Linked DNA regions of Bombyx mori. The protein of the gene in region 3 interacts with the protein of the main gene of each other region in a pairwise test. Links are inferred from orthologs where the notes say so. Each region holds a gene or a part of one and is shown on either strand. Other genes may lie near its edges. The genes, in order: anamorsin homolog, MOXD1 homolog 1 and glutaredoxin 3.

Evidence for each region.
Region 1: the proteins of glutaredoxin 3 (region 3) and anamorsin homolog interact in binary tests that used the Homo sapiens proteins (3 or more experiments, as listed by UniProt). The link is inferred for Bombyx mori from reciprocal best matches to the Homo sapiens genes GLRX3 and CIAPIN1.
Region 2: the proteins of glutaredoxin 3 (region 3) and MOXD1 homolog 1 interact in binary tests that used the Homo sapiens proteins (3 or more experiments, as listed by UniProt). The link is inferred for Bombyx mori from reciprocal best matches to the Homo sapiens genes GLRX3 and MOXD1.

The regions. Positions count from the first base shown.
Region 1 is NC_085117.1:10,722,352-10,733,059, forward strand, and holds anamorsin homolog, read left to right. Parts: upstream 1-4,009; 5' UTR 4,010-4,350; intron 4,351-4,431; 5' UTR 4,432-4,783; coding exon 4,784-4,928; intron 4,929-5,763; coding exon 5,764-5,993; intron 5,994-7,177; coding exon 7,178-7,343; intron 7,344-9,585; coding exon 9,586-9,692; intron 9,693-10,376; coding exon 10,377-10,481; 3' UTR 10,482-10,567; downstream 10,568-10,708. Other genes in the region: uncharacterized protein LOC101735621, read right to left, coding at 1,464-1,613, 2,766-2,858, 3,714-3,797. UniProt on the Homo sapiens protein: Component of the cytosolic iron-sulfur (Fe-S) protein assembly (CIA) machinery required for the maturation of extramitochondrial Fe-S proteins.
Region 2 is NC_085109.1:4,826,486-4,837,383, forward strand, and holds the start of MOXD1 homolog 1, read right to left. Parts: upstream 5,310-10,898; 5' UTR 5,080-5,309; intron 1-5,079.
Region 3 is NC_085112.1:5,056,551-5,067,298, forward strand, and holds the start of glutaredoxin 3, read right to left. Parts: upstream 6,105-10,748; 5' UTR 5,901-6,104; coding exon 5,851-5,900; intron 5,560-5,850; coding exon 5,391-5,559; intron 4,996-5,390; coding exon 4,733-4,995; intron 1-4,732. Other genes in the region: prefoldin subunit 5, read left to right, coding at 7,113-7,199, 8,159-8,368, 8,983-9,156. UniProt on the Homo sapiens protein: Together with BOLA2, acts as a cytosolic iron-sulfur (Fe-S) cluster assembly factor that facilitates [2Fe-2S] cluster insertion into a subset of cytosolic proteins.

The DNA.
Region 1 (10,708 bases), on a different chromosome or scaffold from region 3:
GGTATGTCAGAGTCGAACTGACTAAAACCTCCTGTCGTTCAACAACCAACGTCCAAACCTCGCATGAGACAGAACTCATGACAAGGCAAAGGGGGGAAAGTGAAGCGTTTAGTGCGGAGCACATCTCTCCCATCACCCTCCCCCTCGGGACGCCGGACTGGCGGTCGTCGGCGCCACGACCACCAGCCCTCTCGGTCGGCAGACTGTCCGAAGCCCGCCTAGATGGCGCCGGTTAGAGTGGGTTACCCTACGGAATACCCCGCTGGGCCAGAACCAGCGTGGGTCGAGGATAGCCGACCTTCCATCACCCGGATGCTCTTGCGTAAAACGCGTGCAGAACAGCTTGCACGTCGTCTTCTTAGGCCCCCCTCGCCGGTCCCCAGACCGACATGACAGCGGTGGGCCTAGCGTACTATACCATTCCTACCAAGCCAGAATCAGGGAATCAGTAATTTTTATGAACTTGAGATTTTCATTCTAAAATCTATAAATTTCAATAATTTCCACGGAAGATAAAAATTAGCGACTTTACCGTTTAGTTATTAAGATATTTTAAAAGGCTATAATTATGATGAAAACTACAACTTTCTATTGAATTTGAAAATCATGGCGTTCTTTTTTTTTATTGCTTAGTTGGGTGGACGAGCTCGCAGCCTGCCTGGTGTTAAGTGGTTACTGAAGCCCATAGACATCTACAACGTAAATGCGCCACCCACCTTGAGATATCAGTTCTAAGGTCTCAGTATAGTTACAACTGCTGCCCCGCCCTTCAAATCGAAACGCATTACTGCTTCACGGCAGAAATAGGCAGGGTGGTGGTACCTACCCGCGCGGAATCACAAGAGGTCCTGCCACCAGTTCTACGGCTGAGGGTCACGCGGCTCACTTCCATACGCGCTTTGTTTGATAGCTGCAATCTGTGGCTTGTAGGAAGCGTTTACGTTGGAACCCTCACGCGGCTCGCGGGTGACCCTCATGGCCCGAATGGTTCAGTAAGATAAGGCTCACCGGTGAGCATCGTGGCCTAAATGAAAACTCTCCATTTTTCATGTAGCGTTGAACGTGTTAAAGTACCTAATAAATAAGACGTGGGAGACTTTTTTTGTAACATAAATGGCATGGCATCATTGGCATGTATGATGTATGTCTGTCTGATTCCTCGGCACGCTTGGCAGCCAAACCTTCGGTTGGATCTCAACAAATGTAACTATATTCAACTCGAATTTGACAGTGATAAAAAAAATGTTAAATGTAAAATAAGGTAAATAAAGCGACTGCGGTACAATCTGGCTATATTGTACTGTCAAGAAAAGTACATAACTGTCAGATTTCATGGCACAGCTATAGTCTGAGAGCTTAGAAATCAGTTAAAAATAATGGTAAAATTCCATTGCATCCATTCATACTTGCACACATATCATAGGTAGAGGTGGGCTTTTAAAGAATGCGTAAAAATATCTTACCGATAGAACGTAGCTAGAAGCTGCGGATATGACGGTGGGTGCGACCGAGTTAGGTGCAGCGTCCAGTGACCGCAAGTAATGCCTGCTACTCCACGTGTTAACGAGGACCATGATTATCAAGATAACGCCGGATATAGCATAGCTGTCTCCCTGTCAAATTAATGTAAATGCGCCTTTATTTTAGTGTTTCTTTTTGCTTTTGAGTGTTTCGATGTAACATCGAAGAATTGTTTCACTGTCGCTACCTACTGATACTGCTGCAATGCCCAGTGGACGAGCTCACAGCCCACCTGGTATTAAGTGATTACTGGAGCCCATAGACATCTACAACGTAAATGCGCCACCCACCTTGAGATATAAGTTCTAAGGTCTCAGTATAGTTACAACGGCTGCCCCGCCCTTCAAACCGAAACGCATTACTGCTTCACGGCAGAAATAAGCAGGGCGGTGGTACCTACCCGCGCGGACTCACAAGAGGTCCTACCACCAGTAATTATGCAAATTATAATTTTGCGGGTTTGATTTTTATTCCTTCACCGTGGAAGTAAATCGTGAACATTTGTTGAGTACGTATTTCATTAGAAAAAATGGTACCCGCCTGGGGTTGGAACACCGGTGCATCGCTCAACACGAATGCACCGGACGTCTTATCCTTTAGCGTTCGGGCTCATAAGAGGCCCTATCGCCAGAAAACGCAGTTTCCGCAGCCAGTGCTAGTGGGTATGCGGATTAGCGAATACAGCTACTGCTACTCCCCTTCAGAACGACAAACTGAAGGAACGCGTTTGTTTTTAGAATATAGAGATTTCAGATGCCCACTCCGACACTGATTCCGACTAACCCTTGGTGGTGGATGCATCCCGTAAACCCATACGAGTGAACGGCAACATTTACATTGTGATGTCTATGACCTATTATCTATGTTTATCGGTCAAACATATATCACCGGAATAGTTCAGCTATGCTTATAAAAAAATCTACGTTTATGACAATGTTATTGTAATGGAAAATACAGGGTCAGGGTTTCCAAAAATATCTGGACATGGCTCCTATTTCTATCGCGAAACAATTTTGCGTTTCTGTATACTGGATTTAGGTGATCTATGACACTAACATATGAATATGAATTGTGTGTTAGTGTCGTCAAATGCTAAGATTTTAAAGTTAGAATGAGCTCTGTTTTTTTTTAAACAGGATAATTAGAGGTAAAAAGATAAATTACTAATTTATAGCTCAAGGGTACAATTTATTTATTGATTGTAGGTATTTATTATCTATGATAAGCTGTGAAACAGTACCTACTATTTTTAGTGACTGAAAGTTAAGAAGTCGTCGTGGCCTAAAAGATAAGACGTCCGGTGCAATCGTAGCTAGCGATGTATCGATGTTCGAATCCTGCAGCCAAGTACCAGTTTTTGTAATGAAAAATGTACGTAACAAATGTTCTCGATTAACTTCATAAAAAATCAAACCCGCATAATTATAATTTGCATAGTCAATGGTGGTAGGACGTCTTGTGAGTCCGCACGGGTAGGTACCACCGCCCCGCCTATTTCTGCCGTGAAGCAGTAATGCGTTTCGGTTTGAAGGGTAGGGGAGCCGTTGTACTGTAAAAACGAGGACCTCAGAACTTATATCTTAAGGGGGGTGGCGGCATTTACGTTATAGATGTTTAGGGGCTCCGGTAACCACTTAAAACCAGGTGGGCCGCGAGCTCGTCCAACCTTACTGTAGCACTATACAAGTGTCGCCATCTAGTATAATCTAAGTTTATTACTATAATTATTATTATTCTTAATCATTATTGTATTTTAATGAGAGTAGCCTTTTCTTGAAACTAGTGAAAAAAAGGTAAGTCATTCAACATTATCTATATTTAATGGGTAAAGATAAAACAGTATGTATTGCAATTTTCTTATCTTTTTATCAGTACATTTTGAAGTGTAGTTTATAGTCTAATTTTGTTCAATAGTTGAACATTAAATTAATTAATACATATTATGATGTATGACGAGTAAAAAGATTGACCTAGATAATGTAGTCATACAATATAGCTAGAGCTACAAAAATTACTTACATTCACATACAATTTGAAAAATAGCAGGATAAACTTTTGTCGTTTTATTCAAATTTTGTTATTTAAATCATTATTTGACATTGTTTTGTTTTAAATCGTCATAAGCTTTAATAATTGTAACAGGTCGTGTCGTTAACTCTTATCAATTTCATAAACACTTCTAAATAACTTACTACTACACTTTCAGTTCCAGCTAGCTTCCCCAAAGCGCTTCCAGCAGATCCCCAAATTCCAGCAAGGAAAGCCTCATGAAACATTTCCAATATTTAATAACGTATTTTAATTTATAAGTAATCTACAATTTTCACTTTTGAAGTAAGAGCCTCCCTTGCAACACGATAATATTCTTAAGATAAACACAATTCAATAAATTATTGTTTAGGTCCACATCAGCTGTTCTTTACATTGTAGGAATATTGTCAACAAAAAACAAATGTTTTAAAACCAAAATGTCAAATTTTAAGGTTATTTTAGTGGTGTTGGCATTTGATAAATAAAATGGTTTAATTTTGAATAAAAAAAAACCCGTTTATTATAATAATAATAATGCTATTCATCTTACGTGTAAAAATACTAATCGACATTTTATATCTGCATGCCGTTTTAGGTTGATATCTAAAGTCTAGAGAATCTACGAAGGAAATAGTTAACTTTGTGTTTTTGTTGCATTATACGTGTAATAATTGCGGGTTATTAATCCATTAGCGTCTACGAATGTCCATAAATGTGACACGGCTCCTCGGACTCTTCTAGTTTTGCAGCGAAAGCAAAACTTTACTATTTTCTTATCAAAGTCCAATTCTACCGAAGGTTCAGTGAATTCCTATTATAGTACTAGGGCATTGTTTCATTTTATCCCATTTTATTTGATTTAATTTCATTCCATTTCAGATCAATCAAATTTTTCTATTCCGTTTCGTATTGTATCCGTTCAACAATTATTAAACAAATTGTGTAAATAGTAATTATGTAGATTTTATGAACTAGATAGTGGCAACAATGTCATTTGAAAAAGCTGATTGCCATACTGAAAAAATAAGAAGGGAAGTGCCTGACAATTGAATTGAAATTCATCATTGTTCATTATTTATAATCATTTACTTAAGCCAGCAGCCACTGGTTAGGAAATTTACCAATTGCCTGTTATCTTTTTCAAGGAAACAAATTAACTGCGTTATAATTTCGTTATCTGTTATTTAAAAAATACTGTAAAATCATTGTTAAAAATCCTTGGCTTACAAACATGGACAACTTGAAAAACGGAGACAATGTTCTTATTATTTGGAAGAACGACAGTCAAGGAAACATTACGAGCCTAATAGAAGACGTAAAAAAAGTAATTCAAAGTGATACTGTGGTTCTGGAAAACTCCGACATGATCACTGAAGGTAAATTATACATTTTAGTTCTTAATTCTCAGTTAGTGGTCTTATCGAATTTAAAGTTTTTATATTAGGAAAAGTTCTATACTTTTTTCATACGTTAAGTAGCTCTCCACAAATCGATTATAAGTGTTTACCGGAAAAAAAAGATCAGAAATCTATCTGTGCATAGATATGTTATAAATAGGGTTCTTTAAGTTGGCTGTAGTATTGTGCTTACTTATTACTTACTCTCTCTTACGTGTATTCTATAGTTTTTATAATTGATTTGGTTATCTCAGAAAATGTATGAGAAAAATAATTGTGTGCTTTTTTGTAATGTTTAAATTTTAAAATCTTGTTTTTCTGCTATTTCATCTACTCTGATGTATAAAATAGCATGTAACTTAGTCAGGACACAACCGAATTCTTAAAACTTTAAAATAGCAAAATAATATTTATTTACATCATATCCTAACATGTTTTGGCAAAGTTGTTCAAGTTTCAATTTATAGAATGATTCCAATGTCAGGTATCAAAGGTTTGTTTATCAATGTAAATTTAGATAAACTGTAACTATTTTAAGTTGTGTTTTGATAAACCCGGTATTGACTGATTTGGTGATCCAGAAGTGTGCCCCTGACGAGGGCAGAAGGTTGTGATGTCTATTACCAAATTAAGCAATCATGTTTGTAATGAACAGGTTTGTTTGTTCTATGTCTAGTGTTTAATATCTGTGTATGTATATATTTAACTGTATAAAATTATGTATATTAATCTCGTTATCATAACACAGATAATCCTAGTTTTAATGCTTTAAGATAGTCTAAAAAAGTTTAAATTAAATTTGATAATTTTTCAGGTTCCCGTGAGCATTCATCATTTGATGTTGTTCTCTCAAACTGGTTACCTCCCCACAGTGTCTCACATTCTGATAAACTATTGGCAATAATCATTAAATTACTCAAACCAAATGGTAAACTTATACTCAAAGATCTCAACAAATTGACCAGTACACTTAAATTAAATGGTTTTGTAAATGTCACTGAATTGGAGAATAACAGATATGTTGCGGAGAAACCAAAGTTTGAGGTATGCATTAAAAATGTTTGAAATGAAGGATTTACCATCTACCAATGACCTGGTTCAAGGGGGTATTTTTTTTTTTTTTTTTTTTTTTTTTTTTTTATTGCTTAGATGGGTGGACGAGCTCACAGCCCACCTGGTGTTAAGTGGTTACTGGAGCCCATAGACATCTACAACGTAAATGCGCCACCCACCTTGAGATATAAGTTTTAAGGTCTCAGTATAGTTACAACGGCTACCTCACCCTTCAAACCGAAACGCATTACTGCTTCACGGCAGAAATAGGCAGGGCGGTGGTACCTACCCGTGCGGACTCACAATAGGTCCTACCACCAGTGATTACGCAAATTATAATTTTGCGGGTTTGATTTTTATTACACGATGTTATTCCTTCACCGTGGAAGTCAATCGTGAACATTTGTTAAGTACGTATTTCATTCGAAAAATTGGTACCCGCCTGCGGGATTCGAACACCGGTGCATCGCAACAACGAATGCACCGGACGTCTTATCTTTTAGGCCACGACGACTTCAAAAATATATAATATATACTAATAATATATATAATATTACTATAGTATTAAGTATAATATTATAGGTATAATATTACTATAGTATTAAGAGCATTAATACCAATTGCCAGGCTCTGCCTAGTAGGCATATCTTAGTTGTTTAAAAATTGTAAACATGTTATGACTTTTGAAATATTTTTAAGCTGATGTTAATTAGACTTTTGAAATATTTTTAAGCTGATGTTAATTAGACTTTTGAAATATTTTTAAGCTGATGTTAATTACCAGTTGGTTACCATAACCAACAGACATCACAATGTGAATGCTGTCTGCCATGAGACATAACTGTTTGATGCTGCATTAGTACAAGGGTTTCTCGGCCATTCAAAACGGAATCCAATTATAACTTCTGCAGTTTTTTTTTATACTAATTTCTGGCAAAGATGTTAATATCTGCTTCAATAGCTGACTTATATTAGCTCATACTTATATTTATGAAATGAAAATAACTCCAATTTTTTTTTTTTAAATGTCTTGAAATTTATAATTCAAAGGAAGAACAACCAACAGTCATGGAGCCCTGTTTAACTGTGTCTTTAGTGTACTACATTTGAGAATATTTTTGGAAATACTGAAAAAACTTAATTTTATTTCACTAAATAGCTGTTTAATAACACAGGTTGGTTCAAAGTCATCTCTGAAATTAAATGGAAAAGCCACAGTCTGGAAGTTGGACAGCACAGTTGAGGAAGCTTGGGCCAGCACTAACAACGATGATATTATTGATGAGAACGAACTATTGGATGAAAATGACCTTAAAAAGCCAGATAAAGAAGCTTTGAGTGGTAAATTAGTTTGAATTTTTTACACATTTATTCTTCGGGATTTTAATTTTATAGAATCATCTTTAAATTTGAAACTTATTTGTGCTAAGCTTATTTTCACATATTTTGCAGAATTTTTTAAAATATAAAACCTTATATAAAATTTTTACTTCAAAATATACAAAAATCAATGCTAAATTCACAGCAAGATCATTTTAAAGGGTTATTTATAAATGGTATTGATGGTGGTAAGACACTTTGGTACAGGTCGATACCTAATAATTACCTTACGATACGATTACGATAACTATAATCAAACTACGCTAGTCGGTATTCCGATGCTACGCGCTTTATATCCATGAATAGAGTCTTATCTATCGGTGGTTCGCGCTCTGTGTAAATGGCAAAAACAATAAGCAAATGTTTGAGCTTATTGTAAATTATTCTTTGATTGGCAACTTATAGAATGTACAATAAAATATGTTTACACCAAAGTATTCGTATATCAATCAACAATAGTTTTATTTATGTAAATATTGTAAATGCAACCTATTTATTAAAAGTGGTATGTAAATTAATTTACAATGGTTTTGATATTATGAAAGATATGGGAACAGTGGTGGTTTCCATTATCATTTGTAATAAATTGATAAATAATTGTCTGTACTACTGTGAATATGTATTTCTTCATTAACATGTTTGTTCTGAGGTTTTGTGTTTCAAATACCATCTTGTGATTCAAGAAAGTGTTATGTCATCATTTATCATTTTGTTGACTGTTTTATCGTTTTTCTTTAATCTGAAGAGTCATTTGTAATTTGTAACACAATTAAACGGAAATCATATTAAAATTAGGGAATAAATAGGTTGTGAAACAATGTTCCGCCCTTTCACTTAGTTTCATTCTTATCGAGTGCACTTGCACTCTGTACTTACAGAAAACAGTATTGAGAGTACACGCAGCAACAAAAGTTTCTTTTTCCTTTTATTCATTAAATTTCAAAAAAAGAATTTAATAATTTTCAAAACATGAATTAAAATTTCCTTCTCTTCACGTCGATTTACTCATTAGTGAGGGACCTGACTCGCACGCTGCATCGGTTTCTCGCGTACGATTTCCCCTCCATCTAATATGATCCTTAGCTTCGTAAGGGCAATCGTGGAACTTGATGTTCAGAGAATATCGAATTTGGTCCGACCATCTAGTGGGACTTCTTTCTCTGGGACGTTTGCCCTCTAACTTGCTTTTTTATTTTCGATCAGAAAATAAATGACATAGTATTTTATAACCATTTATTTTAACAGAAATATTTCCTTAATATCTGTTATGTAGATTCATGTATAGCTATCTACTGGTGGTAGGACATCATGTAAGTCCGCACGGGTAGGTACCACCACCCTGCTTGTCAGGGACGTCTTAAATTAGGCTGGGGCCTTTGGGCACACAAGAATTTGAGGCCCTTTTGGAAAGTAAAAAATGTTTTTTTTTTACTGAGTATGACCATTTATTATATAGGTAATCAAATACAGTATGATATAATATTTCATTAATGATATTAGAATGCTGCTGGTTTTTTTGTTACGCTAGATGGTGTACTTAGTAAATTAGGTAGGATGCGTTCGGAAATATTATTAATTAGTACAGTAGGAATAGGCGCAGTCATCGATATAATGGCGTAGTATATGCCTCGAAATTACCTTCTGATAAGATTACTGATTTGTGAAAAAAGTGTAATGTGCCCGACAACAATGTTTTGAGAATAAATGTGTGAGAGAAATTGTCGGTCCTTCCGGGCGCCCTGAGAATGGGGGCCCTGGGCACGGGCCCCGTGTACTCTTATGGTAAAGACGGTATTGCTGCTTGTTCCTGCAGTGAAGCATATTTTAAACACAAATGAAAATTATCATTAATATAATATTTGTTTCACGTTAATAGTATTTATGTGATAATTTTTATTTAATGAACATTCGTTAAAACAACTTTTACTTTACTATTTAATTAACTGTTTTTTTTTATTAGTAAATTTAAAGAATGTATAAACTCCCACTTTAGTTAGCGGTAGCCAGCGGCTTGGCTCTGCCCTTGGCATTGCTGAAGTCCATGGGCGATGGTAACCACTCACCATCAGGTGGGCCGTATGCTCGTCTGCCTACAAAGGCAATAAAAAAAAAAAAGTTATCTAGGGCAAAGCACATAGTGTTTTAGTCAATTTGTAGGCCTATGGTACTGTCGAAAATGCATACATATTTTTTTTCTTTTCAGTTTGTGCAACAACAGGCAAGAGAAAAGCGTGCGTGGACTGCACCTGTGGCCTCGCCGAGGAACTAAGGGGCGAGACAAAAGAAACTCCAAAATCGTCGTGTGGAAGTGTAAGAAGCTATTTAATTTCATTATGATTTGAAAACATAAATAATTCATGCAAAAATGAATTCTTCAAACTTGTATAAAATATTATTTCTGTGTCATTAGCATACATAAATTCTTTTTTCGGATTTTTTTAAACTTTGAAGTTATATTATCTAAAATCCAAATTAGTAAGAATATTATTAATGGTAAAAAAAGACAATCATACATACACTTGTGACCATTGTGGCCGAAATGGCCTTTTTTTTAAATTTCCCTTTATTGTGTAACATTTACCGTTATCAATAATTATGTGGTAGTATAGTATATTATAATCCGCAAGGTAGGTATTACCACTGTCAAAATGAAATATGAAAGGAAAATTATTTTTACGATTTAATTATGTTTTTTTTTTTTTTTTAAATTTAGTCGATTATCCTTTACCATGAAAACTGTAAGTATTCGTCAAAAATAATATAAAAGATCATATTATAGCGAGATTAAGCCGTAATAATATTTTTAATCATTTACGGAACCCGATGACAATAGAATACGAAATATCTATGTTATGTTGGAACCGGAGCTAGTGAGTGCAATGCCCGTAAACGAACCAAGCATTGGTAAGGATTAGACAGTACCGTGGACCGTTCCACCGGCAAGCAGCAATATAACCGAATATTCTAGAACATGCGTCATTTGGATTTTTCCAGTGTTACTTGGGCGATGCGTTCCGATGCGCGACCTGCCCGTACCTCGGCATGCCAGCCTTCAAGCCCGGCGAGAAAGTGATGTTAGATCTCAAGGCCGATATATGAAAAACCGCTTAGATTTATTCCAGTCCACTGTATTAGTATTTTACTTGTTGTGAATGCCTTTACTAAATAAAAGTTTTTGTAAGATATATCTGTGTGTTTGATTAAGTGTGGTCACTTTTTTTTATTGCTTCGATGTGTGGACGAGCTCACAGCTCTCCTGTTGTTAAGTGGTTACTGGACCTCTTGGGAGTCCGCACAGCTAGGTCAACCACTCCGCCTATTTCTGC
Region 2 (10,898 bases), on a different chromosome or scaffold from region 3:
AAACTGATCGGTTATTTCCTATGTTAACTTTATAAATAAAAACAAAAAAATATATACTAGTTCTAAAACGGATAAAGTTTTTCTTTTGTTATTTGAACAAACAAACGTTGAATAAATTTACTCAACAAATCCTATAGTTCGTTTTAAAACTGGAAACAATAATGGCGGGCGGTAGGGTTGACCTTTATTTAGTACGCTCACAGCAGCTGACTGTTGGGGTTAATTTAAATATAGACGTTAACTTTAATACGAAACTACATAATTATTTAGAAACTTTTGGGTTTTTATTTTTTATTAGCATAGACGACGGGCAAACGAAATACTTACTTCAGCTAATGCTATACGGTTTCCAGGGTCAATACCATGAATCGTAACGTTCCCATTAGGAAAATGTAATCTAGTTAGAGGATTAGTGGAATTAGGATAATCACCATCCTGCTATTCAGAACCCAATATTTGATTTTTCACAACAGAATTAGGCTTTATCACTGGTGGTAGGACCTCTTGGGAGTCCGCACGGGTAGCTACCACCACCCCGCCTCCGCCGTGAAGCAGTAATGCGTTTCGGTTCGAAGGGTGGGGTAGCCGTTGTAACTATACTGAGACCGTAGAACTTATATCTCGAGGTGGGTGACGCATTTACGTTGTAGATGTCTATGGGCTCCAGTAACCACTTAACACCAGGTGGGCTGTGAGCTCGTCCACCCATCTAAGCAATAAAAAAAAGACAGGACGATAAAAAAAAAATTATTAGGGGTCTACTAACAGACAGATAATGCGTAGATAATATGACTTATTAGGAGTCTAGTATAAAAGCGAAGGGCTTTTCGCATTTAAGAGACTTGTTAAATAGTAGATATTAAATATTATAAATTATTTCGTCGTGGTATCACTTTCGTTTTACGTATTGAGATAAGTACGATCGTTTTAAAACAAATATGTGGGTAGGTGCGTAATTCATTTGAAAAATCAAGAACTGAAAAAAGTACTTCTCCTTCTCCTTGCTTCGATTTCCTCAATGCTTAGGGTCGTGACCACTTCCACACAACAAGAGTTTATTGTGGATCACTCTACGCAATTTGTTTGAAATGTTTATACATATATAATATACATATACATACACACGCATATGTTTCTGATCAGCAGACGATTTTGCTGCCCACCTGGGATTAGCTTGAATAACGCTGCATGAAGTCGAAATCTTATTTGTATTGTATGTACAACGGCAGACCTACCCTTCTATTCGGAACGCCTGACTGGTTTTCGGTTCGGAACGCGTGTGATACTATACGCCCTAACAGCAACCCATGTTCTATTAATAATAGGTTGGGGAAAAAGTATTTTCGCATACATACTTTAGTTAATTGTAAATAAACTATATTAATTTTTTTTGTGAATTTTCTTAAAAATGCGAGGAAATATTTTCCCCAACCTATTATTAGAAATCTGAAAGTTTCTTTATTTTTATATTTGTCCTTCAGAAAGAAGCAACAGATTGACATGATATATATATATTTTTTAAATCCTTCTTCTTTCTCTTCTCAGGTTTTTTTTCTTCCTACTTAAGCTGATGGTCAACAGAGACCACGTCAGCGTCACCGGGCGAGTAGGTGAGTCCACGGGGCCTGACGTTGTTGCTAACACAAACCCTAGCAAGAGCCGTGCTTCGCAGAATCTACCACCGGATCGGAAACGCGATCCACTGAGAAGATCCGGCGAGAAACTCAGTGGGCTGTGTCTGTGGGTTAATTTACTTGCCGAGCCCTTCGTCACAAGGGACGGGTTCGACGAGAACGATGATCGAAAATTCGGTCTTCGATCAGGAGAGCGACATCGACTAACTATTATTCCCGAAAAGTCGTATCTCTACCACAGGAAATTACACTAACGCTTTTCCTTGACCACGCTGACGAAGACACGGGTAAATCCACTAAAAATATAATTGAGTACGTCAACATCAAAAAGTACACAAGTTCAGCTGAATCCGCGTGACAACAGTAAGATAGAACGCTTAATAAGCTCCATAATTAGCATATAATTATGCTGGTGTCCATTATTCCCATGTAAAACACGTAAGTACCTACTTCCTACCTATTTAACTGGTTCGTGAGTCAGACCCGCACGTATTTAGGTATGCAATGAAAACTAAAAATACCTCGTTATTGAGACTCGCTGAGGTCGAGGCCGTGCCATACAAACTCGCGGAGTCAACGCCACCGCGGCAATGTGACCATCCTTTCATACTATCGTGATGCCTGATCGTCCTTCTGTTATTCATATTGGATTTCTACATTTCAGTGCTTTTTTTTTATTGCTTAGATTAGACCTTAGATTAGACTTGCTTAGACCTCGCAAGAGGTCCTGCCACCAGTAATTAAGCTCTTGGTTGAAAAAAAACATAAATAATTCCGCGACCTGATTCTAATAGCTCACATACGAGCTCTTCAGCCTTGAACTCTCGTTCTACTATTAGTGTTATGCATTTATTAACCACGTGACTAAAATAGATTTTAATCGTATCTTAACCCGTAAAACCTAAGTAAATAAATAAGCATACCTAATGGTAATACAAATATTCCTACCGTTTACTGAAATTTCAATGAATGAAGAATGCGCAAAATCTTTTAGGTTTTTATAAGCAAAGTGAATAGTTGTAACAGTAATGTGTCGGAAACGATTTCTTTTTTAAATTCTAACAAAAAAATCTATCCAATATTTTCGAGAAGTCATTGTCACCGTGCGCAACAGGAAGTCTCTGTTTAACTTATCTGGATGGCGCGGCCAGTATCGGAGGTGTTTACCTGCCCCAAAATTTCTATGGAAACTGCCCGCCCAATTACAATATTTTTACAATAGATTAAAGAAAACAATGCAAAGTACCCTGAGGGCATGATAGGTTTAAAGTTCACATTATTTTAACACCTGCACAGAATAGTAGATTATACTAAGATTAAATTACTATGACTAAAAATTGTGCAATAAGTATAAAAATGCAAATTTCTTATTTACGTCAATAGTTGTAGCGGGCGTAATATGAACCCGCATGGGCAGACACCACCACCCTGTCTGTTTCTGGCGCGAAGTATTCCTGCGTTCCGTTGACAGAAGCAAGAAAACAATATTCACAATTCAATGGGCCGTGAGCTCTTTTTTTTGGCTACCTATTCTAGTGACCTCGAGGGGTCATACTAGATTCACCGAGTAAGTAGCACCGAGCTCACGGGGCTCTAATCTGGTGACGTTGCTAACACTAGCCTAGCAAGGGCAGTGCTTCACTGAATCTACCACCGGATAGGAAACGCAACCCACTGAAAAGATCCAGTGAGAATCTCAGTGGGCTGTACCTGAGGGTACCGTGAACCTGTTCATCCGTTCAGCCTATGCATTAACATAACAATAGCACTAATGCATTTGTATGTTGATATAAGTGGCGTCTTTATCTAAATAAAATGTGTATAATATTCACAAGAAAATATAATGTCTTTCCACTGAATCTCTCTATACAAATACAAATTTTTCTTCAATATGATTGTTCTATGATTAATCACCCTATAATGAACTTTAGCGGGTCACCGCTTGATTCCTGGTCACTATCTTCATTTAAGATATTTTTCATTCCAATTCAACCGTTAAGTCTTGTTTTATTTGTAATTTTGTCAAATCAGATTATTAGCTTTAGCTCAATGGGCTGGAATGGGCCTCCAGGGGGAATGTTTAACATTTGACATTACAATTTATTTTTTATTATAATAAGGGGACAGAAAAATGTCCAGCTAGTATTAAATAGTTGTTAGAGCTCACAGATATCGCAAAGTGAAACATCACTAATTTTGAAATGTTACTGAAGGTCTGTAGTATTATATCCTTTCCTTAATATGAGATACAATCACAACTGAAATAGAAGGGATAGTTGAACCTGGAACAGTGCAAGGTCACCGTAATTAATTAGTGGTTCTAATAAGTAATTATATGTATTTATAAATACTGCAAGTTTGATTTTTATAATATTATGTGCTTCCATTGAGACAGCAATTCAATTTACTTGCATTTTTATAGAAAAATTTATAGATATGAAGCTGGATAAGTATAAAGGAGAAGCCCCAAGATCAAGGGCTCAACATTATGTTATCACTAGTAATAAATATGACTCCCAGTTATCTAACCCAGTCATTCCGTGATCCAAAATTGTCTACAATTAAATAATAGTGGAGATGAATAAAATATTCCACTTCATAAACTCATTTCAAATCTTTAAACATATAGAACAACATAAAAAACTCAGGAATATTTGCTACAAAGTTAAACAATATAAGATTACACCTGCCCACACTGCTGAGCTGATTAGTTGTTGCTGTCTTTGGCAGGAGTTCAATAATGTGATCTCAGTAACAAGTAACAGTTAGTTGTTAATGTATATTTGAGATACTCTGATTGGGTGCCAGCAGTATACATTAAATATACATTTTAAATAACTTTAAATATAGAATTGTACAAAAATGTATAAAATATTATATTGTCACATATTAATTGAGTTAAAATAATTGGTAAAAATATGTACATACTACTTATTAATTAATAAAATGAAATGTTCAAGTATTATTGTTCTTGTTTTTTTTTAGTAGTATTGTTAAAAAATATCTGTCTACTGTCCTGCCTGTTGGAATCATTGTTGTAACCATTAATGGGTATATAATACAAATGTGGCATATTAAATTCAAAGTTCCAAGAATGAAGTGTACCATCATAATTTTTAGTAATTGAAATCCACTATTTTACTCATAATTGTATCATTTTAATTATACTACACCAACTCGCACGAAATCGCAAAACTTCAATTACTCTTAAAATTACAGTGCTTTCTCTCGATTTACAAAAAGTGAAATTTGTAACAGAAAACATTCGTTGAATGCGTACTTAAGTAGAAGAAAAAAACCTTTTTAAATTTGGAATACCTATGAAATTAATTTCCTGGCTACATGTGCAAAAATCCGAATAAAATCAAATAAATCTTGAAGTTCGAAGATGCCGCCGGCATAGCAGACAAAGTGCAATAAATTAAAAGAATACAAAAAAACTTACTTTCAATTTCGTTGTACAGTATCACTTACGAATTAAAAAGTCACAATAATCTATAAAGTTAGTAAAATGATGCGTAAAATACATTTATTTGGCACAAGACTTTTTCACTTGTTTATTTACGTTCGTTCGTTTGACAGTCGATCGGCACATGCGCATACTCTCACCTCGACGGACAAGCGCAGACTAACTGAACTGAATGACGGCAGTGAATGAAGAGTGAACTTCAAAAAAAAAACGAATTAACTGGTGTTGGATCGGCGCGCGATTGAGCATTGAATGAATTGACAATGAAATGCAAGGCGGTTGGGAAACGAGTGAAACGACACAAAATCTTAATTATAGGCACAAACAAATCCTAAATATTTTTCAATGGATATTGTATAAATCTTTTTTTTTATTAATCCTCATCATGACCTAGAAATTATAAAAAATGGTATTTTTTTAGTTTAATGAGTTGGTGTTTTTGACCTATAAGTCATTCAAATATTAGAAGAAATCAGAAGTAGATTATGACTACGAACAATATAAAATAAGTCCGGTATGAACGTTTAATCAATCATTTCCAATTTAGTATTAGTTTCACACAACACCTTCTATTAGTCACAAAAATGTGGTATTTCCATTGACACTTAGGTACTCTTGATTCATTCAAATCTATATAATATTATTATTGTAATATTTCGCGTCATGTGATGTTTTTTGTTTGTATTACTTAGACGGGTGGAAGAGCTTAGGGCCCACCTGGTCGTATCGGAGCCCATAGACATCAACAACGTAAAACCGGAGCTCAAAGTATCAGTTTTTACAGAAGAACAGCTGCCACACCCTTCAAACCGAAACGCATTATGTACTGCTTTACGGGAGTAATAAAGAGCAATTACGCAAATTATAATTTTTTGCGGTTTGATTTTTATTTCACAACTAGCTTTTGCCCGCGACTTCGTCCGCGTGGAATAGTGAGTCAACCTTAACATATAGACATATGCTGTCGCGAGCTTTTTTTTAGATCTTTTAAAGGAGAACAATTCTGTCATACATTATTTTAGCGAAACTTTAACCGTTTCTGCAGCGCACGCAGCGGAAGCTTTCAAAAGGAAAAAAAAAAGAATTTGAAACATTCTTTATTGGTGCTCCGCTTGCATTGGTCTTAGCTTGATGTTATATTATAGCCTATGGCCTTCCTCAATAAATGGGCTATCTAACACAAAGAATGTTTCAAATCGGATCAGTAGTTCCTGAAATTAGCGCGTTCAAACAAACAAATTCTTCAGCTTTATAATATTAGTATAGATATTATTTCCTTCACTGTGGTAGTCATTCACAAACGTTTGGTATGTATGACTATCATCCATTAATGTATTGTTTTATTTATCAATGCTACCCTCAGAAAAAATGGTAATTGCCTTTAGGAATCGAACACTAGCACAGTCGCATTATAGGTACTATGATAGGACTATTAAAGGTATACATATACAAATTGTCAAATTTATTAGTTCATTTTTTATTATTCTTAAATTTGTAGAATACTTCCAAATCGCTGTATTAATCAGTTTTTGTGACAAATGGAGTTAATAGTTCGAAGTTGGTCTAATGGTATTATTGAACATGACAGAGCTCTTTATTTTTTCATTGGCACCAAAGTCTGCATACCTTTCAGCCCACCATAGTAAGTGGCCATCCTAGCATGGACTACCGCCATATCACTGAAATGCTATCAGAGTATCTAAACATAATCATTATGGTACTTTGGTATCACGTTTACGATAACTGTTACGTCAAGGTGGTTCCTCTTGTCGTGGCAGCTGGTAATTATATACCCGATCCTGTAGACCGAATGGTAAATAGTCGACGTTGCCCAAAACACGTCATTACGGATCCTACCGATCCATTAACGGTGCTTTTAGGTATCACAAGCACTGGTCACCGTCCTCGTCGAACCCGTCGCTTGCGACGAAGGGCGCAACGAGCGAATTAACCCATAGACACATCCCACTGAGTTTCTCACTGGATCTTTTCAGTGGGTCGCGTTTCCGATCCGGCGGTAGATTCTGCAAGGCACTGCTCTTGCTAGGGTCAGTGTTAGCATCACTCCGGTTTGAGCCCCGTGAGCTCACCTACTAGTTAAGGTTACGCTGAAATAGCTTCTCAAGGCTATCAGCATAGGTAGGAAAAGAAAAAAAGTCAAGGTGGAAAACGTAGTATCATAACCCAATAAATTCACAAACCTACATTTAACTAATTACGTTAGCTAGGTACATGTACTTATTCATTATTGAAACCATAACACAGCAAAAGCAGTAAAATATTACGGCAATAAACTTGATTGTATCTCTGGAAGCATACTTCAATACAAAACGACAATTTGGGAACGGGTGTTCGCGCACGCACTCCATACCCTTAAAACAATAACATTCAATTTTCTACTCTCTTATTGCAGTGTAAGTCTTAAAATTATTTAACACCGTTGACCTAAAGGTGTAGGGTTGCTCTTTTATTTTTTAAACAGGATATCCTGGGTAGAGCGTCTGACGTCGTTTCCGAACGCACGGTTCGTTAAAAGTGACTGTTTATAAAAAAAACAGTAGCACGTGCACCTGAAGTGGGTTAAAGAACACGACTTTAAAAAAATATAGCATCCTCTATTTTCTATTTTGTAGTAGGCTATGCGCCTGGCGTTACTATTGTGATCAATGGAAATTACCTACCAGCAAATGGGCCGTATGCCTGTCAACTTAAAATGGTAAGACAAATACAAAAAATATGCTATTTAACATTGCCTGCTGTGGATTCACGTTGGATGCAGGTGGCAACGGACCGGCCGCACTGGACATCAGTTGGAGAGGCCTATGTTCAGCAGTGGACAGCAGACAGGCTGAAATGATGATGATGAATGATGATGATGATGCTGTGGATTTTCCACAAATAACTATGACCTAATGGCCCAAATTTACCGTGAGGTTAAATATTTAATTGCTTTACGATATTAATTCATCTTATTCACTCATATTTCATCGCGCTCACATACTGTACACCACTATTTTAACTAATCAAAAATACCTTATCTATCTCCTGTCAGTAACGAACATATTTAAGTTAAAAGAAATTATTAAATTACTTTCGATAAATTAGTTTTTAAAAGGACATTATGTGATTAGACGTGACATTCAAACCCAATAATTTTCTATTACTTTGTGTACACCAATAGCCAGGGCTCAATATTTTACCGCGAATTTTTGAATCGAATGAATGAAGGAAATACTTAAACGTGCTAACCTCTTCAGGGACATTGGCTCTTATTTAATTTTAAACTTATTTTATTTTTAATAGGTATGTTTACATGCATATGGATATTTAATTTTAATGAATAGTCACTTTTTTTTTCAATATCAAATGAACAAGCGCAATAAAGAATAAATTAAATTCATATTTTTGTACTTTAAAAAAATCGTCCTAGATGTTTTTGTGTTCTAATGTTAATAACTGTGCTTCAACAACACGTACGTAAATACTTATATATTTCTACATCTTCATGTGTAGTCCCTTATGCGAATCGCTATTTCACACGAACCACAAAAGATTTGATTATTTTTCATAAAACAAGTCGAAAGCAAATTAAAAGTTAACTTATTAATTAACAGAGCTCATTAAACCAAATAGCTGTCATTCCTTATTTGAACTCGTTAAAACAATTTCAACTTCGCCCGATCACGCCATTAAAGCTAGTTTATTAATAAATTAAAACACCGAACACCGCTTCATCAGAATGTTAGCAGCGAAACTTTCGATACAAGTATGCGATGTCATTAACCCCGCATTAACAATTTTGTTTTACGCGATTCGCATTAATTTAGCGTGACCTTGGCCATTTGCTCGGTAAGCACCAACACGGACGACTCGTGACAGATGTAATGCGATAATATCATTCGTCTCCATAAGGGGTGAAGTTTTTATGGCTGCACCCAAAGAAGGAATGGTTGACTTGAAAATTCATTAAAGAAATGAATGAATTTTGTGTTTGCGATGATCTGTTTTAACTTTTCAGACACTCGAAACTAGATACGGATTTTGTGTTTAGTGATTTTGTAGTTTTTATACTGCTTTTATTTGGTATCGTCTCCGGTCTTCGCGAGTCATAGACGTAATTAAAATTACCACTACTACACCGTCTACCGTCCGTGACCACGAAACCTGTAAGGTATTCGAAGCGTACGTAATAATTTAACTATAATACGATAAAAGCGAGATTAAGCAGTTTTAATTTACTATTTAATCAGTTTTGTACAGTCCTGTCTGTATTTTAAACTAAAGGACGAATTAAGACGACAACATGGATATTTGCTATAGTTAGCTTTATTCATTTCGATTTTGCTCAATAGTCGTTAATTTAAAATTGCGCAAAGAAAAAAATAGACAAAAATTAACTAAATTACGGAATGACATTGGTTTGGTGTTTTTTCTTTAAGCGCCTAGAACAGACTAAAGCGTAGTCAATGATCAGAACTTAGCTTTGTTCCCTCTAGCTGCCTGATCTTTCTGCAGTATCCTTTCTATACGACTAATGAAGTTATCAATAAATTCTTGGGAAATCGCTTTCCGTCCAAATGTGAATCGATTTCGGTCGACTTCAGTCTTCTTCACATTGGTCTTGTAATCGCTCATACTTCATGTTTCCAGACGGTGAGCAGCGCTCATGCTGTGATGTCTATGAGCTCCGAAAATCACTTAAAAGCAGACGTGCTAGCAGCTATTTTATCTATAGCAACAAAAAAAAACCTTTCATGCGACGACAAACCAAATTCTATTTTTTTATCTATTGCTCATTTGGCTACCGGAGCTCACAGACATGGATTACGTAGAAGCCGGCACCCACCTTGAGACGTGGGTAGTTTTTTTTTTGGTGTTAAGTGGTTATCGGAGCACATAGACACCTACAATGTAAATGCTGCCATCCATCTCGAGATATGAGCTCTAAGGTCTTAGTTTTTACAGTACAACGGCTGCCTCACCCTTCAAGCCGAAACGCATTACTACTTCATTTTAGAAACAGGCAGGGCGGTGGTAAGTACCTACACGCGCGGACTCACAAGTCGTCCTACCACCAGTAATAGTTCATGACATGTGTTGACACCCATAAAATTATCAGTTTCATGACACCACTTTTGTTGTAAATATTCAGTACCTGTGATAACACAGTGATACTAGGAATAGAAAAAAAAAAACGACACACACGTGACTTCATTTATACCGAGCAAGTTTACGACTGGCTCCCAATGAAACGAGCACCGCATACGTAAACGAGACGTTGTAAAGTACATTTTCACGCAAAACCCAAAAAGAGGACGACTAATATTTTAAGCATTCAGTGGCAATAAAAAGGTGCCACCACAAATCCCATTAGGGAACTAATAATTTGGTGCGATCAATGGCCCTATACGGGGCGCCCGTGTGGGGCCAGTCCCTGGCCGTGGGGGTAGCGAAGCTGCTGCAACGGCCGCAACGCACCATCGCGGTCAGGGTCGTCCGTGGCTATCGCACCATCTCCTTCGAGGCGGCGTGTGTACTGGCTGGGACGCCGCCTTGGGTCCTGGAGGCGGAGGCGCTCGCCGCTGACTATCAGTGGCGGGCTGACCTTCGTGCCCGGGGCGTGGCACGTCTCAGCCCCAGTGTGGTCAGAGCGCGGAGGGCCCAATCTCGGCGGTCCGTGCTGGAGTCATGGTCCAGACGGCTGGCCGATCCTTCGGCTGGTCGTAGGACCGTCGAGGCGATTCGCCCGGTTCTTGTGAACTGGGTGAATCGTGACAGAGGACGCCTCACTTTCC
Region 3 (10,748 bases):
CCTTTATTGTTAGCGGCGGGAGACGAATTTTGATGGGAAGTGGTTGTCATATAAATGTATATGCAATGCCACAGAGAATAGTTACACATTCCACGATTGGGTCTGATGTATGCTGCTTTTATTTCAAGACAATTTTTTTTGTGATACTAGTATATTAGACCTACGTCATCAGTACAAATAACTATGATAACGGATTGATAAGGACTACCTATCATAAAGTATTTATGCTAGTCGTTTTATCTAGGTAAAAATTTTTTAGTTTTTGTTATAGTATTTTCTTCGAATGGTTTTACTTTTACGGTTTAATTTCGCTATTTTCTGTTTTATATTATTTAAGATGTTACTGATACTTTACAGTATTAATGGAAAGCATGTTTTCTTTTGTTTATGGTCCGTAGGTTCTAGATGGGTCATAGGGCTTCAACAGTATTTTGCTATAGCGATCGGTTTTGGACTATGCACTTTACTCAGGCCACAATAGCCCGATTGTCTTCATCTCCGCCTCACATTACGCCGCCAGCTTTGTTTAAAACGTGTGGGATGTGTGAGGGCTCTCTTCTGAGAGTATGGCCTCTCCATGTACATTTCCGGCGCATGATCTGCTTGTGAATTGGCATTTCCCGACACGCCTCCCAAAAGTATTCATTAGAGTACTTCTCAAATTAGAAAATGCCAAGTATTTGCAGTAAGCAGCGTCTGATGAAAACCTGAATCGGCTGCATGATCTTTTTGTTTGGACAAGACAAATTTCACGTTTAATCGGTGGATTTTGAGTTTAACTCTGCGAGAATTTCGTCAAGATGTTATCAAATATTGGTCTAATGCAGCGTGTCCTTTGACATCGCGTTGCCACTTTGTTGTTTCCTCGAGTATTTATTTGTTCCGTACAAGTTTGATTGGGGTGGAATCCAGTCTATGCTTGCCGAAGAAGTTGTTCCACTGTTTTCGCCCATCTGATCAGAACGATCTTGCTTAGTATCTTTGATGGCACGGAAGGCAGCGTAATGCCCCTCCAGTTGCCACACTCACTGAGGGCACCTTTCTTGAGAACAATGATTAAAGGCCTTTGTTCCGGTCATCGGGTAGATCTTCAGGAATCCATAAAGACCTCTGGATCAGTTGACGGCTTTAAGCATTTCTCCTATTATAAAAGTCGAGGCTTGGTGCTTTCCCACTCTTATTAGAAAATATACAGGGTGGCCCATAAGTCCTTTGATATGAAAAAAAATTTATTAAAATAAAACTAATTACATTATGAATTAAATTTTTATTTACATAAAAAGCTTAAAAAACGGGAATTATTTTTTGAAAATAACATCTCCTAAATGTAATCCGTTGCGATCACGGCACTCTTGCAAACGACGTCTAAAATTGTCGATGACTGCGCGGCACGTCACTGCTGAAATGCTTGTCATTTCTCTGCGGATGTTTTCTTTTAGGGCCTCAATTGACCGCGGGTTTGTGTCGTATACTTTAGCCTTAAGGTAGCCCCACAAAAAAAAATCCATCGGGGTCAGATCTGGACTACGTGGAGGCCAGGAAATGTCTCCTCTCTTAGAGATAACTTTGCCAGGAAAAAGTTGACGGATAACGGGCATAGCAGTGTTAGAGGTGTGAGAAGTGGCCCCATCCTGTTGAAACCACGTCCTGGCATTAAAGCCTGAAAAGTTTTGCAATTCTGGTATGAAAAACTCTTCGATCATAGCCACATATCGCTCCGACGTAACAGTAACTGCGCGCCCTCTGCCATCCTCAAAGAAGTAAGGCCCTAGGATACCATGGGCTGACATAGCGGCCCAAACAGTCACTTTCGGACTATGTAAGGGCTTCTGATGCTTAAGTTTTGGATTGATGGGGCTCCAATAGCGGCAATTTTGTTTACTAACATGCCCGTTAAGATGGAAATGAGCCTCGTCAGAGAACATTATGTTATTGAAGGAAGTAAACCGATTCAACATTTCATTCGCGTAATTTTGTCTTTGAATACCGTCAGTTTCCTTTAATTCTTGAACCAACTGAATTTTGTAAGGGTGCATATGTAAATCTTTCTTCAAAATCCGTTGTAACGATGTCCTGGATACGTTTAATGCTCTGGCGCGCTTACGAGTTGACTGTGTCGGATTTTCGCGAATAGACTGTGTCACTGTGTCTATGTTTTGTTCCGTACGTGACGTCCTTGGGCGACCCAACCGCGGTTTATCTAACGTCGAACCGGTCTCCTCGAACTTAGCAACCCAGTTCTTAATCGTTTGAAGAGTTGGAGTGTCGTCAAAGTTGTGTAAACCTTTGTGTTCTCGAAATTTACGCCGCGCAACGGTTGCCGAATTGTCGTTTTTATAAAACTCGCGCACACAAAACGCACGGTCCGCTCCGGTAAAACGCTCCATCGCGACTAAATTCCCAGAAACCGAAGTTACTCCCCCCGCTTCCCCTGCACCGCTCACGCGCGCCCTGTTCATTTTATTCAAATTTTACTTTTCAAAGGACTTATGGGCCACCCTGTACTTCAAGCTGCTTCAACTTCTTCTCGAAGCGGTATCGAAGTGTCAATGTCTAAAAACTATGGTAGGGTTGAGCTTGGAGATGAAGGAGATGGTAGGACAATTCATTTGCTCAAAAACTCCTGAAAGTTCTCGCGCCAACATTCAAGATAACTTTCTGAAGTCGCGATGTAGTTTCTGTTTTTATCCCAAAGCAGTTTCTTTTGGGTCTCTTTCTCCCTGCCAGCTCTTTGGTGTCACCGTACAATTGCCTCAGGTTGCCCGTATCGACTGCTGCTTGAGCACATTCAGCTTACCGTCAGTAGATCGTCGCCTGTATTTTCTGGTGCTGCGATAGATGCACTCATGTACGTATTTGACTGTACTGGTCCCTAAGGCAAGACCGTTCGGCTTTGTTCGGGGTTTCTAGGATGTTTAGGTGAAGATCGCATCAAGTCTGTTTAAGGTCACAAGTGTCGTCGGAGGTCCAATCATCGCGCTTTTTTCCAAGATGATCTAAGACAGAAGATCTGATTTCTTGATAGATTTGATTCGGTTGCACTCTTCGTCTGTATTATCAGTATTCGCATAGAGACGGAAGAAACAATTTCGGAGTTCCAAAGCAAATTTACTTCGAGAAATCTTTCTATCAAGTTGTCCCCAATCGAACTTAAGTCGTATCTTGTTGCTGCCAGCTGCTCGCCTCGTAGTCGCAACCTTGTGCCGGAGTTCAGCGACCATCAACATATGACCACTGCCGATATCGGCACTACACTTTTTGTGAACACTTGGCAGCTAGTTTGGTCTTCGTACGTATGTTGCCATCGGGTGAAGTCAACGCATACTTATGTATATTTTTATCATGGAAAAGTGTACCTCCGATAACAAGGTCGTGGTTTTCGCAGACTTTAATAAATTGCTTCCCTTAGTCGTGTTGGTCCGTATTGTCGCTTTTCCCTATCGTATTCATAACTCCTATCAAGATGACGGTATTGCTTTCGAATGCCTTCAGCGCGTTTTAAAGTTGTGTAAAGGAATTATGAAGTGTGCCTTAAATGTTCTAAGAGTTAAATAGAGTTTTAATTTGTACTTCGGTGAAAGTTTTATTTATCCCGAACCCGAGCACGTCACAGTACTATTTCTAGCACTACACTAAAAACATGTGACCAACAAAAAAAGTACTAAAAAAGCTATGTCAGGCCAAAAGGAGTGTTTTGATGTGCGCTTTGGGAGTCTTAACGACGAAAGGAAAGATCTTCCACCGAGCGGGTGATATTGCTCGGTAGACCGACGGTCCGAATGTCGTTGTTCGGAACTTGTATTTTTTTTATTTTTTTATTGCTTAGATGTGTGGACGAGCTCACAGCCCACTTGTGATGGGATGTGTGATATATGCGCTTTATCTTGAAAATGTCATAAGCGAGATTCAGGCATCTGTCAATTATCTTGCGTTGTATGATGGCTACCCGCCACACGCTAAGAGTGCAGAAAAGTTTTTATTCCACGGTTTACTTGTGAAAATAAACCAAGTTTATAGGTAATTTTGAAGTCGTCGTGGCCTAAAAGACGTCCGATGCATTCGTATGTAGCGATGCACCAGTGTTCGAATCCCGCAGGCGGGTAGCAATTTTTCTAATGAAATACGTACTTAACAATTGTTCACGATTGACTTCCACAGTGGAGGAATAACATCGTGTAATAAAAATCAAACCCGCAAAATTATAATTTGCGTAATTACTGGTGGTAGGACCTCTTGTGAGTCCGCACGGGTAGGTACCACCGCCCCGCCTATTTCTGCAAGGTGTGTGGCGCATTTACGTTGTAGATGTCTATGGGTTCCAGTAACCACTTAACACCAGGTGGGCTGTGAGCTAGTCCACACATCTAGGCAATAAAAAAAAAATGATTTCATACTTATGAAGAGTGTCATGAAAATATCAAATCAAATTGGTGAAGATGGACTGCTGTTTACATTAGAGTAAGAAAGCATGTGATTTTTATATGTATATATTCACTATAAATATTCATTCAAAATAAATAAAAATAGAAAACTAAAAATCTTTCATTTTGCAATTTAAATCATACCTATTTGTTTTGTAGAAATAGGCAAAATGTTCTCCATTCTTTAGTTTTTACAAAACTTGTCTCGAGGGCCAAGCCAAATTTCACATGACAAAGTCACATCTATACTTACACATGTAAAATAGTGCAATCAAATTATAGGTATTGATCATTTCATCAATAATACATACCCTGTTCCATTCAGAATTTGTATGAGAGTACGACTAAACCCGCATCTTGGAGTTTCCTTGTTCCCTTTCATGAATACCATTATATTATGCTTATTTATTAAAGCTTTTAGTCGATCTTCAAGTTTCTGAGGGGTTATTTCTGCAGGACTCTTATTAAGACTCTGTGCTTTAATTTTTGTGCTAATTTGAGCAGCATCTGCTCCATCAATCCTGTCTACTTGAGTTCCATTCTTAAATAATATAACTGTAGGCACTGAATCTACCTGAAATAAACATAATCATTAATAAGTTGTCTAAAACAGGCTTTCCCTATTTTGATTGTTTTCATTATAAATTATTTCAATATTCAATTACATAGGCTCTTTGATTGCTTAACTGGTCTAGTGTAGTGTTTCCTAAAGTAGTCTATTTCAATCTGAAGAATGACATAAAGTCTTTAATGCATAGTTGAGTAACCAAAATCAAGATACAAATTGATGTATCCATAAAGGTATATAAGCCGACTTAACCTAATAAGTGTATGGCTTTAATAAATAATAAAAAAAGTATACACAGGTATTGCAATAGGTGACTTAATTGTCTGTGCTTTATGATGCACTACATTTTTAGGGTTAGCACTTATTACTTTTTATTTAACAATATATTAGCAGAGCATTACCTTATATTGCAAGGAAACTTCAGAAAGTGCCTCGGCATCACAAACAGCACATTGTGTCTTGCTCGACTGAATTTCAGGAAGTTTTAAGAGTTCTTCAAGTACATCTGTAACTTGTTTACATTGTTCGGCCCATTCTGCTGAAAAGTGTACTACTCCAAGTGCAGGTGATCTAAATTAATTAAATAATTTTTGATATCAGCCAATACCAAGATAGATATTAAAGAATCATCTTGTTGTGATAAAAGATTAATTGAAAGTAATATTCTCAATTTTATATTCTAAATACATATTTCCATTTCAATGAATGCAAAATGTTGACCATCCTGCTACATAGTAATTTATTATCTAACATTTTTACCTATTTACTGTGTATTTAATTTAATTTCTTTTTATGGCTTATTTTTAATGATCCTTTCACAAACGGTTTTAAAAGTACTTTTTTATTAGCGGTGATTCTTACCTTATAAAATTATTAAAATCTTCAACAGAGTCCAATTTACTGACCGACATTTCAGTATACTATGTTTAGGTTACTTTAATAAATTTTGTAAACAGTATATAAGCGCCACTGGATTACAGCAAGATTGAATTACAATTACAGCAAGATCCGGAATCGTAGGTGTACTCGATGCAAAAATTACAATTTATTTAATCATGTTCATTCAGTTTCTGACATCTCTGATTAGGGATGTGGTCTAAGATCGATACTTGAGTAAATTAATTTGTTAACAACTTAAATCGTGAATAGTGAAACATCTTAAGCAGTAGAAAATCGAAATTTGATGAAAAGGCATTAATAAAGTATTTATGGTTCAACTGATTATGAATATATTAAATATAATGTTTATTAAATTTAAATTTACATTTTAAATAATAATAATTTAAAAAGTTGTTGTATATAAATCATGTATTTATTAAATTTTTTGAATGAATTTGTTGTTAATTTCTGTTTGATTGATTTTTGTGTCATTTTGGTTGCACTTGGGTATTTTCTAGAATCGATTTTTCAAAATTTTGGTCTGAAGTCGAATCATCATCTCTATTTCGAGCCAAATTTTTTTGTTTGATTTGTTTTTTGGACAAGCAAAAGGAGTCATAAATAATAAATAGATGTACACAATAAGGAGTTTTAGCAACACAGCGAAGTTATATTATGTCATGTATATCTTATTTATTTAAAATCGCTTAGCCATCTTATTGTTTACGGTTAATGATCAAGCTTAGTGGTAGATTTTTTTGTGTCTGAGCCAATTTTTTTGCTAATTTATATGGTGATTAAAAGGTTTGCTTAGTCATTGCTCTCTCGAAATGCTCGCAACATAATTGTTAACTTATAAATTTATTAACCTCTTTAATACGATTTTCGTTAGCGGTCAAATTGGTAGAAAACTACCAATATGACTAGCCAAATTGATACACACTAATAAATCCAGTTTAGTTTCTGTAAATTCTCAACATTTTACTAAGAGGTTTTCTTTATCGATTTGTTTTTTTCACTTATTTGGTGTTATAGGCAGAATTTGTTTGCATGTCAATTTGGACCAAACAAGTAAAACTGTCAAATTGACATATTCTGACTGAAGTTTTGGATCCTACCCGAAATCTACCTATTTTGAGGTTAGAAAAAAGAAATAGTCTTAGGATCCTACAAAAAACTAAATAGAATAACTAGAAACGTGTGTTAAGTTCTTTTATTATTTCCTTTTATTAATATTTACAAAGATGGCATCCGGTTCAGGCACTCAACAAATCGATTTAAACAAACTACCTTTGCCTCAACTAGCTCAATTGAAACAGCAGTTAGACCAGGTATGTATAAAGGAAATATCTATAGAGCTATTTTAGAAATAGTAAGCATTAAGTATTATTTCTTCAACATAATATAATTTATACAGATAATTATTAAATGTCGTAACTATTAATGTCCTTAAGAGACAGGACTTATGTCCTATTTTAAGGACCCTCATGAAAGCCGGAATGAAAACATTTCCATATGTTTTCTGGTCTGAGTTGTGTATCTAGGTGTACTTGTTAGTGACATGAACCCGGACCTCAAATACCAACTCACAAAGCTATGAATCTAAGATATGTTAAAGAGAAGACTTCACTGAATGTGCTCATTTTTGGTAGACAAGCAGTCATCATGTTGTTGTTCTGATCTTTTATTGGAAGACTATTTCGTAAACAGTCAGCTTCAGGTCATATCCGCTTTTCTTTATTGTATTGTAGCTATTGCTATAATTAGCCAGAAATGGAACATCAAACATAATGACTAAATTGAGGGAGACATTTTTTTTATTGCTTAGGTGGGAGGACGATCTCACAGCCCACCTGTTGTTAAGTGGTTACTGGAGCCCATAGACATTTATGATGTAAATGCGCCACCCACCTTGAGATATGTTCTAAGGTCTCAAGTATAGTTACAACAGCTTCAAACCGAAACGCATTACTGCTTCACGGCAGAAATAGGCAGGGTGGTGGTACCTACCCACGCGGAATCACAAGAGGTCCTACCACCAGTGAAAATGTGTCTGTATGTTAGTAACTGATGTTATGTTACAATATGCATTAGTAAAACGTCTGCCCTTTAGTCTTTAGGTCTACTTTGGGAGTACTTGGGCAGCTGTTAGTAAATCTGACTCCTCCTGGCTGCTCCCATGCTTGCCCTGCCTATCTTAGTGAAGCAGTAGTGGCCTCCTTGCAACCAGCTATCTCCATCCGAAAAAAAGGCAATACTCTCACACAAAATCCATAAAATTTTATTTCAGGAATTGACAGTATTTCATGATTCAATACAAACATTACAAATGGCTAAAAATAAGTTTGGTGAATCAGGAGATGTTCTAGAGAAGATGACGCCTGATATCAAAGGAAAACCGATGCTTGTTCCATTGACTAGTTCAATGTATGTTCCTGGCACAATAGCTGATGTTGAGAATGTCATTATTGACATTGGCACTGGATATTACGCTAAGAAAGTGAGTAACTTAAATCTATACATATAAATAAAATTGGAGTGTCTGTTTTTAATATTGAAATAACCGCTTTTTACTACATGCATATGAATATATACAGTACATACACCAAAATAACATTTTTTACAATTTTTGTCTGTCTGCCTGTCTGTCTGTTTGTTCCGGTTAATCTCTGGAACGGCTGGACCAATATTGACCAGACTTTCACTGATAGGTAGCTGATGATATAAGGAGTAACTTAGGCTACTTCTTAGATTAGGTTCGGCCCGCGGCGTCGGTTATTGTCGTACCACGGGATAACATCGCGGGACTCAGCTATCAATAATAAAATTTAATGTTTCCGAAGCGAAGCGAGGCGAGGGGGGGCGCTAGTTAAAAATAAATTTAAACCTAATTTAACACTTAATTCAGCTCCAAGTTTGGCAGGATAATATATCATGTATAGCTGCTGTTTTCATTTCAAACCTCATTTCAGAAAATGTTGAGTACTTTAGAATATTGGTATGAAGATTGAATCATGATATAGTTTCAAATAATTTCAAATTAACTGCATGGGTTACCCCTTAGGGCTAATGATGCTGACATATGTTTGTATTACGTTTTATTTCTGCTTCTAGGACATTGAAAGTGGCAAAGATTACTTCAAGAGAAGAGTAGAATTTGTTACAGAACAAATGGAGAAAATAAGTATGTTAGGTGCAGAGAAATCGAAACTCCGTGAAGCTGTTAATGCATTAGTTGAAATGAAAGTTCAAAACGAACTACAAGCAAAAAAAGCTAACTCTTCATAACATATCTGAGACTTAATTTAAAAAATATTTTGTGGAGAGATTCGTGTCCTTTTAATGTATAGAGTTGACCTAAATTTTCTGCTTTGTTAATTTATAGTTTATTTAAAGTATTTTAATTACTTTTTAAAACATTTTAATGATTACATCTTAGTGTTAAAAGTGGAATCATTTGTGTTTTGTTACCACGTATCACCCTGTCCTAATCAAAGTGGTTACTATTGCTTCTGTACATCAGTGATTTCAGAGCAAAGCCAAGTTTCTGAATGTATTAACGTAATCCCAACAGCTATGACTTATACTGATATTTTCTAATGTAAAGCTAGATAATATTATTAAGCCACATCAAAGCTTTTCCTCACATTTTCTTTAATTTTGGATAAATTTTGAAACTAATTACCTAAGGTAATATTTTGTGTTTAGAATACTCCTCAAGAGTACTACTCAATAGCATCAAGTAATGTTAATAATATTCTTAATTCATGTTTTGTAATTTTGTAAAGCTTTATATCATTTCAAACTATGTGTTTTACAAGTACAAGACTCATTGCTTAGTTTTAAATTTAATTCAATGTAACAAAATGTGCTTATGTTTAAAATAAATATATAAATATATTTCCAAGTTTTACTTGAACGATCCAGTATAACAAAAAAAAAACGCGGCTAAAACAAACATCAGCAAAAAGTGGCTTCTTTTTTTAAGATATATTCTGATACTGTTTTAAATGTTTTAATGATCTAATTATTGAATTCTGAAGAATAACACCCTGTATTGTTGTTGTATCTAGTAATAATCAAATTCTAGAAGGATAGTTACATACTCGTATAAATGTAATTTACAACTTTCTTACACAATCCATAGATGAGTCGACTATTATCAAAGCCGGCAATCTGACTTTTGGACAATTATTGGTAAATTAGAAAAACGAATTATTGACTTTGTATTCCATTGGCAGTCACAAAACTCCTCGGAACGACATCTTAGATAAATAACAGGTTAACTATTAACCTTTATTTAATGCAGGTTTTGAACCGTATTCTTTGAAGGAGACGATTATATTCAAATCAATCTGTATTGACATATCAATAACATTTTTTTGTCCAAATGCACAGATTGCCACCTTTGATAATAGACGACTCGGATGTCGCCTTTGTGTATTGCTAAACTCTTCTTTCTATAACTTACTAGGGACCCGCCCTCGCTTCGCTTCAAAACTGTAATTTATTATTGATTTCTCCACTACTTAATGGATGTTATTATACATATAAACCTTCCTCTTCAATCACTCTATCTATTAAAAAAACCGCAACAAAATCCGTTGCGTAGTTTTAAAGATTTAAGCATACATAGGAACAGACAGATATAGGGACAGAGAAAGCGACTTTGTTTTGTACTATGTAGTGATGATGATGATTAATGCAGTCTCGTCCGCGCGTAGCTACAATAGCCCCTTAAACTACCAGCAAATAGGTAGCGAAAAATGCACAGCTATTAGACTTAAAGTCTGTACAATATCACAGTTTAAAATAATTTAATTCCATGATTCGAATACTAGGATTTTCACTATCTCATAAGTATACCTACCGTAAGCGGC